Arabidopsis thaliana: one gene and its partner. The protein of the gene in region 1 interacts with the protein of each later gene in a pairwise test. Each region holds a gene or a part of one and is shown on either strand. Other genes may lie near its edges. The genes, in order: LRL2 and ATCTH.

Evidence for each region.
Region 2: the proteins of LRL2 (region 1) and ATCTH interact in a two-hybrid assay, tested with the Arabidopsis thaliana proteins (one large-scale study listed by BioGRID).

What each region holds. Positions count from the first base shown.
Region 1 is NC_003075.7:15,078,562-15,083,895, reverse strand, and holds LRL2 (LJRHL1-like 2), read left to right. Parts: upstream 1-2,120; 5' UTR 2,121-2,145; coding exon 2,146-2,586; intron 2,587-2,703; coding exon 2,704-2,844; intron 2,845-2,961; coding exon 2,962-3,027; intron 3,028-3,371; coding exon 3,372-3,437; intron 3,438-3,707; coding exon 3,708-3,764; intron 3,765-4,101; coding exon 4,102-4,407; 3' UTR 4,408-4,778; downstream 4,779-5,334. UniProt on the Arabidopsis thaliana protein: Transcription factor that regulates the development of root hairs. Transcription factor that regulates the development of sperm cells.
Region 2 is NC_003071.7:11,039,399-11,044,047, forward strand, and holds ATCTH (Zinc finger C-x8-C-x5-C-x3-H type family protein), read left to right. Parts: upstream 1-1,932; 5' UTR 1,933-2,075; intron 2,076-2,167; 5' UTR 2,168-2,418; coding exon 2,419-3,366; 3' UTR 3,367-3,858; downstream 3,859-4,649.

The DNA of each region.
Region 1 (5,334 bases):
TCATCAACATCTTCTTCTCTCAAATTAAAATAGCATTTCGAGCACGTCCAGCACTCAGCTTCATCTACAATCACAGCAAGCCAAATTAAGCTTTCATGTTTCTCAAGTAGAGTTTTTTTAGTATAATTTAAGAGAATGAAATTACATTTAAGGAAATAAGATATGTTTATTTATTTGTATTAGACTAATAGAGTAAGAACCAAGACTTTAATCAGAGTTTGTCAGATTCATACAAGGTTAAATAATTCAATATTTTCCCAAGGCCTAGTTAAGCCCACCTTTTGATATTTACAGATTATATTTATAGTTCATTATAGGTGAATAAGTAGAACTTGGGAAATCAGACGTGATTGTGTACCAAACTAAGATCGTAAGAGCCAGTTTTTCAATTTGAACAAAGCCGTAATTTTTGAGGGAGTTCCTCAAATTTATTGGGTTTTGTCAGGATTGAGTCTACAATGGTTGTGCACCATATGGTTTATTTTCCTGCCTTCCTATTGTAAACGTATTGTTTTATATAAACAATAGAAAAAACTACTGATAATATGAAATAAAACTAATGTATCAGTATACTAGATGGGACCAATAGTTTATTTAACATAGTAGCATTTTTGTCTTTACTATCTGTTTATTTTTTCTATATGGAATTTAAATTATCATTCGTAACTTATTTTACACCCCCTTAGTTAATTATTTTGGTATACATTATGATTATTAAGTAAAAACAAAAATAATTATTGCATTCTCTTGATAATACTAATACATGAGATGATAGATCTCTCTTTCTGTTGTGTAGTACATCAATGCTTACCAACATTTGTAATTAATAAATGGGAAGTGTATTAAAGCCGATCTCTACCTCTTGTGAGTTTGTGCAAAACTCAGAATGTCCCATGTGCTTAATCATGCATATTGCATAATAATGTTCTTTACTTATCTTTGTCAATTTAATATTAATCTTAATCAAATACTATCAAACAGCTGAAAAACTGTATACGATGGTAAAAAAGAATTTTTAAGGTAAATGATGAATTTATTAGACCAAAAAATATTTAACAAGTATAAAAAATACATGGTAACATGACATGATGATGATGACGATGTTCTGTTATGTTATGTTCTCGTTTGAGAGGATCCTCTTTCCCAAATGTTAATCAGATCGGTTAAAACAACAATTTCATCGATCGGTATCATATTAATCAGAAAACAAAACAAGAATAATCTATAAAAAGTGATCTTATTCTTATCGAACACGAGTATCGTCTAAAGGGATAGCATGTTTGTAATCTTGGGGACAAATTGTAAACAGTAATATATGAAGAGAACATTATCATGAACCGTTGATGAATGAATGAATGTACCCAAATGAATAGAGTATAATTGTATGCATTTATACTGCATGTCTAAATATTATATGTCTAAAATAGTTGTCACAAGAAAAAGTGTTGGCTCTGGTGTTATCTTGTAGACTATTGCATTTTTGGACTAGCAAATATTTATCTCGTGGTACGTAGTTGCCGGGACAAGTTTAAAACTCCGACTGATTTTAATAAAAAAGATCAACAATAGAGATTTGTATTTTATTTTATTTTTGTAGTTGGCATCCTTAACATAAATCCAAAGAATTTTATTCAGCATTCAAATAAACCAATTTTAATGTTACCGAATGAAAATCTTATACAATTATCTTAAACATGAGTTTTCAAAAATGATTAATAGAAAAACCTATGTTATATATATAGAAATTTAATAATATACGGTATTAGAACCACATTCTGTCTTAAATAAAAAAAAAAAGATAATTAAACATACGTAAATCATTTGAGTGAAGTTAGTACAACCGAATTTTTTTTTTTTTTTTTTTTTTTTAGTACAACCGAATTTTAAGTTAGTTTTATTACTTTAAGCCTGTCATTCGATCGACTATGATATTTTTAGAAATATATGTTTCACTTACTTTTTGTAGTTACTACAAAATTGTGAAAAGTATATTATCAACAAAGGATTATAAAATTGAAGAAATCATGACTTCAGTGATCGAATTCTTTTAGTGATTAAAAAAATCAAGAAATTATGAAAATAACACGAAATAATTAATTTGCAAGGATGATAAAAAAAATGGTAAATTTGGTAAACGTATTTAACATGTCAAAGTCAAACCCTTCAAATCTCAAATATTACAATCTCCATCCCTCTTTTAAACACCATAAAGCCTTAAACCTCAAAAGACATTTCAACAACATTCATTTTCATTCTCACTCCCCACCAAAAAAAAAAAAAACAGAAGCCATGAACTCCTCGTCTCTTCTAACTCCTTCATCATCTCCTTCTCCACATCTTCAATCTCCTGCAACATTCGACCACGATGATTTCCTCCACCACATCTTCTCCTCCACTCCTTGGCCCTCATCCGTTCTCGACGACACTCCTCCACCAACTTCCGATTGTGCCCCCGTCACTGGATTCCACCACCACGACGCCGATTCAAGAAACCAGATCACTATGATTCCTTTGTCACATAACCATCCTAATGACGCTCTCTTCAATGGCTTCTCCACCGGATCTCTCCCTTTCCACCTCCCTCAAGTATAACTGATAATCCACTTTTTCTCTCTCATTTTGCAAATTACTACAAAAGAGAAAACATTCATTACATGTTCTTTTGTTAAGTCTTAATTTAATGTTTTCTGATATATATTTTAGGGATCGGGAGGTCAAACGCAAACGCAGTCGCAGGCGACGGCGTCAGCCACCACCGGTGGTGCAACGGCGCAACCTCAGACAAAGCCTAAAGTCCGAGCTAGGAGAGGTCAAGCCACTGATCCTCACAGTATCGCCGAACGGGTTCGATTTTTTTATTTAACTTTTCCTCATTATTCGCTTTTCAGTTACCGAGAAAAACGTATAAAGTTATTTAGATGATTAAGGTGATTATTGAAATATTTTGAAATTATGGAACAGTTACGGAGAGAGAGGATAGCGGAAAGAATGAAATCTCTTCAAGAACTTGTCCCTAATGGTAACAAGGTAAATTTTAATTATCTTCATTAGTCTAAATTTCGATCATCAAAGTTGATATAATTAAAAGAGTAGATTCAAATAATCCAATTTGTATTTTACATTTCTTTAATAGTATATATCTCAAAATGAATAATGTGTTAAGTATATGAGTTACACTGATGTATTTTAGTCTTGGACCACAAATTGCTACTAGTTTAGTAGGTTATCTAGAGATTTGGACTTTTATGCAGTCAAATGATTAAACACTGATTAGCTAATTAATTCTAAAATTTAATTGATAATAATACTTAATAAACAGATGCAGAATTGCTAACAAGGTTTTTTTTATTGTTAAAAATAATAATTAACAGACAGACAAAGCATCAATGCTCGATGAGATTATCGATTATGTCAAGTTCTTACAGCTCCAAGTCAAGGTGAATCTCTCTCTCTCTCTCTCTCGAATTATTTTATAAGATATGAGAATTTTAAATTTGTTTTTGTTATAAGAGTGGAAGCTTCTTTACCTTTGAGTTGACATTAGAATAAGAAATCGAATATGGGCCTCTGCAACTAAAATTCCATATGCTCCCTTTCCCTTTTATCTTGTAAATTATTTATCTTTTGCGTTTGTTAAAACATAGTGTTAGTGTATATCTACCTCTTCTTTTGCTTAATTATAATATTTGGCAAATTTATGTATGCAGGTACTAAGCATGAGTAGACTGGGCGGTGCTGCTTCTGCTTCTTCTCAAATCTCTGAGGTAATAATTTCAATTCCTTCTCTCTTAAAAGGGATGATAGGATGACGTGATCACTATATAGAATGAGATTTTATTTTTTAAACTAATTAAAAAGAGATGTAAATTATTGAAAAGGTTTTAGTTAGGGAATAATACTAATTAAAAAGTAGTTTTGTTTTCGACTTTCTAAAAACAAATGAAAAAGTTTTCCAAAAAATAGTAAAAAAAACAAAACAAGGACAGGGCACGCGTGCCTACTTTCTCTCCAACAAATACCAAAACCTCCCATTTCAACATCATCATAGCTTTAGGGTTTTGCTTTTCTTGTTTTCTTTTTAATTTTATTGAACATTTTCAGGATGCCGGTGGATCCCACGAAAACACCTCCTCCTCCGGCGAGGCGAAGATGACGGAGCACCAAGTTGCAAAGCTAATGGAAGAGGACATGGGATCAGCCATGCAATATCTACAAGGCAAAGGTCTTTGCCTCATGCCCATCTCGTTAGCCACCACCATCTCCACCGCCACGTGTCCTTCTCGTAGCCCCTTCGTTAAAGATACCGGCGTTCCTTTGTCTCCTAACCTATCCACTACAATAGTTGCTAACGGTAATGGCTCATCGTTGGTCACCGTTAAAGACGCTCCCTCCGTTTCCAAGCCGTGATAACGGCCATTTGTCCATTTCATTTTCCCTTTTTTGGGTGGGAAAGAGAGAAAAAAGTTTAGAAGACAAAGACAAGTGGGATAGGTGGTTTTGGTCAAAGTTTAGAAAGAATAAGGTCGTGTTTTCGGATACGACACCGTATTTGCGTACACTTTGGTTTTCTGTCTTTACCTACTACAAACCACCCATAAGCACACTCATGTTATCATGTTTTTTTTTTTTTGGTTTATAAAGTTATATCCTTAAATTTTCTATCACAGAACCGGTCTGGTCTAACAAATGTCGTCAATGATGATCATTTAGGCCAAAGAGTTTGTTTAAAACTCGTTATGCTTAAGTTTCTAAATCTACACAACACAGGAATGTAACACTTAAGCAGGCTTAATTTCACCGTTTTATATACTCACATACTGAAGAAATTTATTGTCAATCGCCAATGTGGTCAGCGGTAAGATCTCATATAAATCTTCCTAGTAGTGTTCAAGAAAATCACTATATATGCAGCAGGGGCTTAGAGTAGCATCTAACGTTTAGAACACCTAGTCAGGATCATTTTAGGTGGTTAAGAGTTTTGTAGAGTGAATTTGTATGGTATACCTCTACTATGACCTACTACTATAAACGAAATAACATGATCTTAATTTATCTTATAAGCACAAAAATAAACAGCAAGGACCGAGAAAACATATAAGATATAAACCATTTCCATATATACCAACGACCTCAAACGTTTACATGTTCAAACCGTCAGAATGTTTTCTACCACGATCGAAAAAAAATAGTCTGAATTGAAACAGAGGAAAATATAATATATCATTTCGTTGTAGAGTCTCTTCTTTTTATTGCTTTGGCATGAGGTTTGAGTTTTGACTTCAAGTACAAAAAATGAATTTATTTTGGGCCAAAAGCATGTGGGAAATAAATTAC
Region 2 (4,649 bases), on another chromosome or scaffold:
CGTAGATATTTTAAATAATTTGAATGTTTACTAATATAGAATGTGTATTCAATTATAACTATTTAAATTATTTTATTGTTGGTTTAGACGCATTCTTAAACTTTCACATCATTCTCTCGTGACTATTATAATAGTTATCGTGCTCGATCAATCATCTCGTGACTATTATAATTTTATCAATAGTTTATGCATAAGAGAACTGATAACGATCATACTTCTTTTTGTCATTATGATAGCTTATGATTAATCATTGTTTATCCATACTTGACGCTTGTAAGTGAAACATATGTTTAAATTTTCAGGCTTAATTTAATAGCCACGAACCAAAAATTATCTTATAATAAAAGTTTGGTGCGATTTAAGAAGATTTGTCCCCAAAGCCCTATCTGAAAGAGGTCAAATTGGATTATTAAATTCAACATATTAATCAATTTGATATTTGTTTAATGGTCTGATTAGTGACAATTATAAGTCTAATATTGCGAATCTTTTGCAGTGAGTATTCCACGTGATATAGATAAGTTTCCCTTAATGGATAACCTTTGCATCAAACAATTAGAAAACAAATGGAAGAGTATCAATCAAGTAGATCTCGAAGCAGTGGACCCTAACACGATACTGGAACATGGACCAAACCTTAAAATATCGTCCAAATTGCTTATTTTCTGGAAGGTTACAAGTGCACAACACTCTAATAATATATGCCCCGCATAACAATTTTTAAAACTATTTCATCTTAGACCTCGGATATTTTGAAGGAAGCACATTTTCTTGAAAATCACTAGGTGACTTGTGTTTCTTTCTTTGGAGCATGTCAATTTACTCCCATCAGCTGGAGAGCCAAAAGTTAAAATTAATGTTCGAAATTTATTTCATAAAAGCTACGTACGTTGCATCCTTCCATGATCTAGAAAAAATGGGGGACAATAACCAAATTTATTCACTCTTGTCAGGTCATGGGGAGTAGTCTACGACCTTGAAAGTCACGTGACAAGTAATATATACTGTACCGTCCAAATATTTTCTTACTGTAATGTCTTATGTTTCATATCGCTAGACCCTTAATATTAGTGTGGACTAATTCATATAATTGCAAATAAAATAGTATGATTCTACGATTCTTCAAAATGATCTAATAGTTACAGTCTGGTCAAAATGATCTAAATCTTTATAAACAAATAACAGCTACGGAATAATTAACACAATTTTTGGTGATAAACTTTGAGTTATGATAGAAATTTTTTTTTTTTCAATTTTTAATGTGTATCTTAATTTCTTCAATTAATGTATCCCTATGTTTTATGTGACTATATAACTTTTGGTTAGTGATACTCCAAAAATGTTGTTTTAGGTTTTGACACACATATTAATAATTTGTTTTATTTTTTACTTTACAAAATTTCTTATTGGTTAAAACATAAATCACTGCAAATAAAACTTTAATTTTGTTTGTAGTCAAAATTAGCTTTTAAAAATGTAAATTGATATTTATTCTAATTATTTTTTTAATGTTCTGACAATTAATTTAAAACGGAAAGCGTAATAAAGTAGATGTTGGGGCTGATTGGTAACGGCTGTTACTTTTGAACTCTAAATATTTCGGATGTTACGACTTTGACTGTAAAAATTTTGGTTGTAAAAATTTTGACGATAGAAACTTTAACTGTTAAAGTCTGATTGGTACAAAAAAATCACAATTATTTTTATTATTATTTAATATTTTTTATAAATATTATTTATGCTAAAAAATCAATTTATTTGGTAAAATAGTAACTAAAATAAATTTATTTTAAAAAAATACAAAATTCATTTTACAAATTCACTATTTTAAATATTTAAATTGGATCTGAAAAGAACAGAAAAAATAAAATTCGAATTAATCAATCGATTTTTTAATGATAAAATATAAATAAATTTGAAAAGAGTTTTGAAATTTTATGGATAAAGAAAAAATATTTTTATTTTGTTTTATTATTCTCTTTTAAAGTTAAAGACTTTAGGAAAAAAACAAAAGAAAAAAAGTAAATGGAGAGAAAAAAGCTTTTAAAACTTTAAAAATTAATAAAGTTTTAAAAGTGTGATTGATTAAAAAATAAATTTGAAAATTTTTAAATATTTTTAAAGCTTTGAAAACATTTTTTTTTTTTTTGGGGGGACAAATATGAAGAAAAAAAAAAAAAAAAAAAGACGAACATGAAGGGGAAAAAAACAAAAGACGAACAAAAATTGGAGATTTTTTCTTACACGTGTCATCATCTGCAGATTTGCGCTTATTAATTGTTTACCGTACGGTATTGTGGATAGGGTCAAGATTTTCATAACTTTACCGTAGTTAATATTTGACCCAACCATGGTTAAAATAAAGCAGTTTATATCACAGACACACACCTCTCTCTCTTCTAGACTCACTAAACAAAAATGATGATCGGCGAAAATAAAAACCGGCCACATCCAACGATCCATATCCCTCAATGGGATCAAATCAACGATCCAACGGCCACAATCTCTTCACCATTCTCTTCCGTCAACCTTAACAGCGTTAACGACTACCCACACTCTCCGTCACCGTATCTCGACTCCTTCGCTTCTCTCTTCCGTTACCTCCCGTCAAACGAGTTAACAAACGATTCAGACTCATCAAGTGGCGACGAGTCATCACCACTCACCGACTCATTCTCCTCCGACGAGTTTCGCATCTACGAGTTCAAAATCCGGCGATGCGCTCGAGGTCGATCTCATGATTGGACGGAGTGTCCGTTCGCACATCCCGGAGAAAAAGCTCGACGACGTGATCCGAGAAAGTTTCATTACTCCGGCACCGCTTGTCCTGAGTTTCGTAAAGGAAGTTGTAGAAGAGGTGATTCGTGTGAGTTCTCTCATGGAGTTTTCGAGTGTTGGCTCCATCCTTCTCGTTACCGTACTCAGCCGTGTAAAGACGGAACTAGCTGCCGGAGAAGAATCTGTTTCTTCGCTCATACGACGGAGCAGTTACGTGTATTACCTTGTTCGTTAGATCCAGATCTTGGATTCTTCTCAGGATTAGCTACTTCTCCGACTTCGATTCTTGTTTCTCCTTCGTTTTCACCACCGTCGGAATCTCCGCCGCTTTCTCCGAGTACCGGTGAACTTATTGCGTCGATGAGGAAAATGCAATTGAACGGAGGTGGTTGTTCGTGGAGTTCTCCGATGAGATCTGCAGTTAGGTTACCTTTTTCGTCGTCTCTGCGTCCGATTCAGGCGGCAACGTGGCCGAGGATAAGAGAGTTTGAGATCGAAGAAGCTCCGGCGATGGAATTTGTGGAATCTGGGAAAGAGCTGAGAGCGGAGATGTATGCAAGACTCAGTAGAGAGAACTCACTCGGTTGAGTCGACTTGGATCGAGTCTTTGATGACGTGGCGACTCGATCTGATTTTGTGAATATTTTAGAGATTTTTAAGGTGTTGTGGATAAATGACGTGGCGGGTCGATCTTAGTGACGGTACAATCGGACGATGAAGAAAAAAGCGTTAAGAGTAACAAAAAAAGGAAGAATTTGTAAAGAGATGATAATGAGAGAATTTGAGAGCTATTCTTCTGGCTTTTTTCTCTGCAGTTTTTTTTATTGTTTTCGTTATTTTCTTGTTTTTATTTTGGTTTTCGGCTTTATTTTGTTTGTTGTTTATTAATGTTATATCATTTTGTAATTAGTTCTCAAATGTATTTGGATAACATCTTAGTTTGAGACTTTAGAAAAGAACATTTCATTTGTTGTTTCCTTCTTATCGATTTCGTTGTTATAATAGTAAGAGGATATAAATATTTTTTGTTGGCCTGTTCTTTTTCCAAACGCTGCGATCATATCCAGCGACCAAAAAAACAGTTGCTTAACACACAATTACGTTGAAGTCTGTAGAAAGTTATGTGAAGAGGAGTCGCTCGATTTTAAAAACAGCGACCTATAAGGCATATACACGTGTCGCCAAAAAATAACAGCAACTTAACATTTTCACTAAGGACGCCGCCGGCGTCCATATTGAACGACTGTTTTTGTATCTCCGTTATAATTTTTGCTTTTCGTCGGAGTCCCTATTGCTGTCACAGCGATTAATAAACGAACAAGCCCAACAATTAATCAGAGAAAATAGTCTCGAGAAAATAACTCTCTTGCATCATATCTCTAATGAACATCAAATCTGCCTACAAATTCTATTTTTAAGTAAACATATTCCTTTTGACAAAAAAAAAAAACTATTTGGCTATTTCCAATGGTAGACTAGATCCACTCTGAAAATAGACTAATGACTAATGAATACTCATAATTTGGATAAAATTTTCATTTTCAGAATGATTTTCAAATTTAAATATGTTTTCAGTAATACACGAACAAATCTATATGTTTTAGGTATACATTGGGCATTTAATCAATACTAATATGGTTATCCAGTTAATTGAAATTTAAAAATACAACAATAATGTATTAAATTAAAAAATACAGTGACATAACAAACGATAATTTTATACATAATAAGTTATGAAATTTAACATAAAAACTCAAACAAACATAACAGAACATAGACTAGTAAACAGTTTTGTTTAAAAACTAATAACAAAAAAGAAATAGAATATGGTACACAAAAGAGAGTAATGGTAATCAATCCTATTTGCTTCG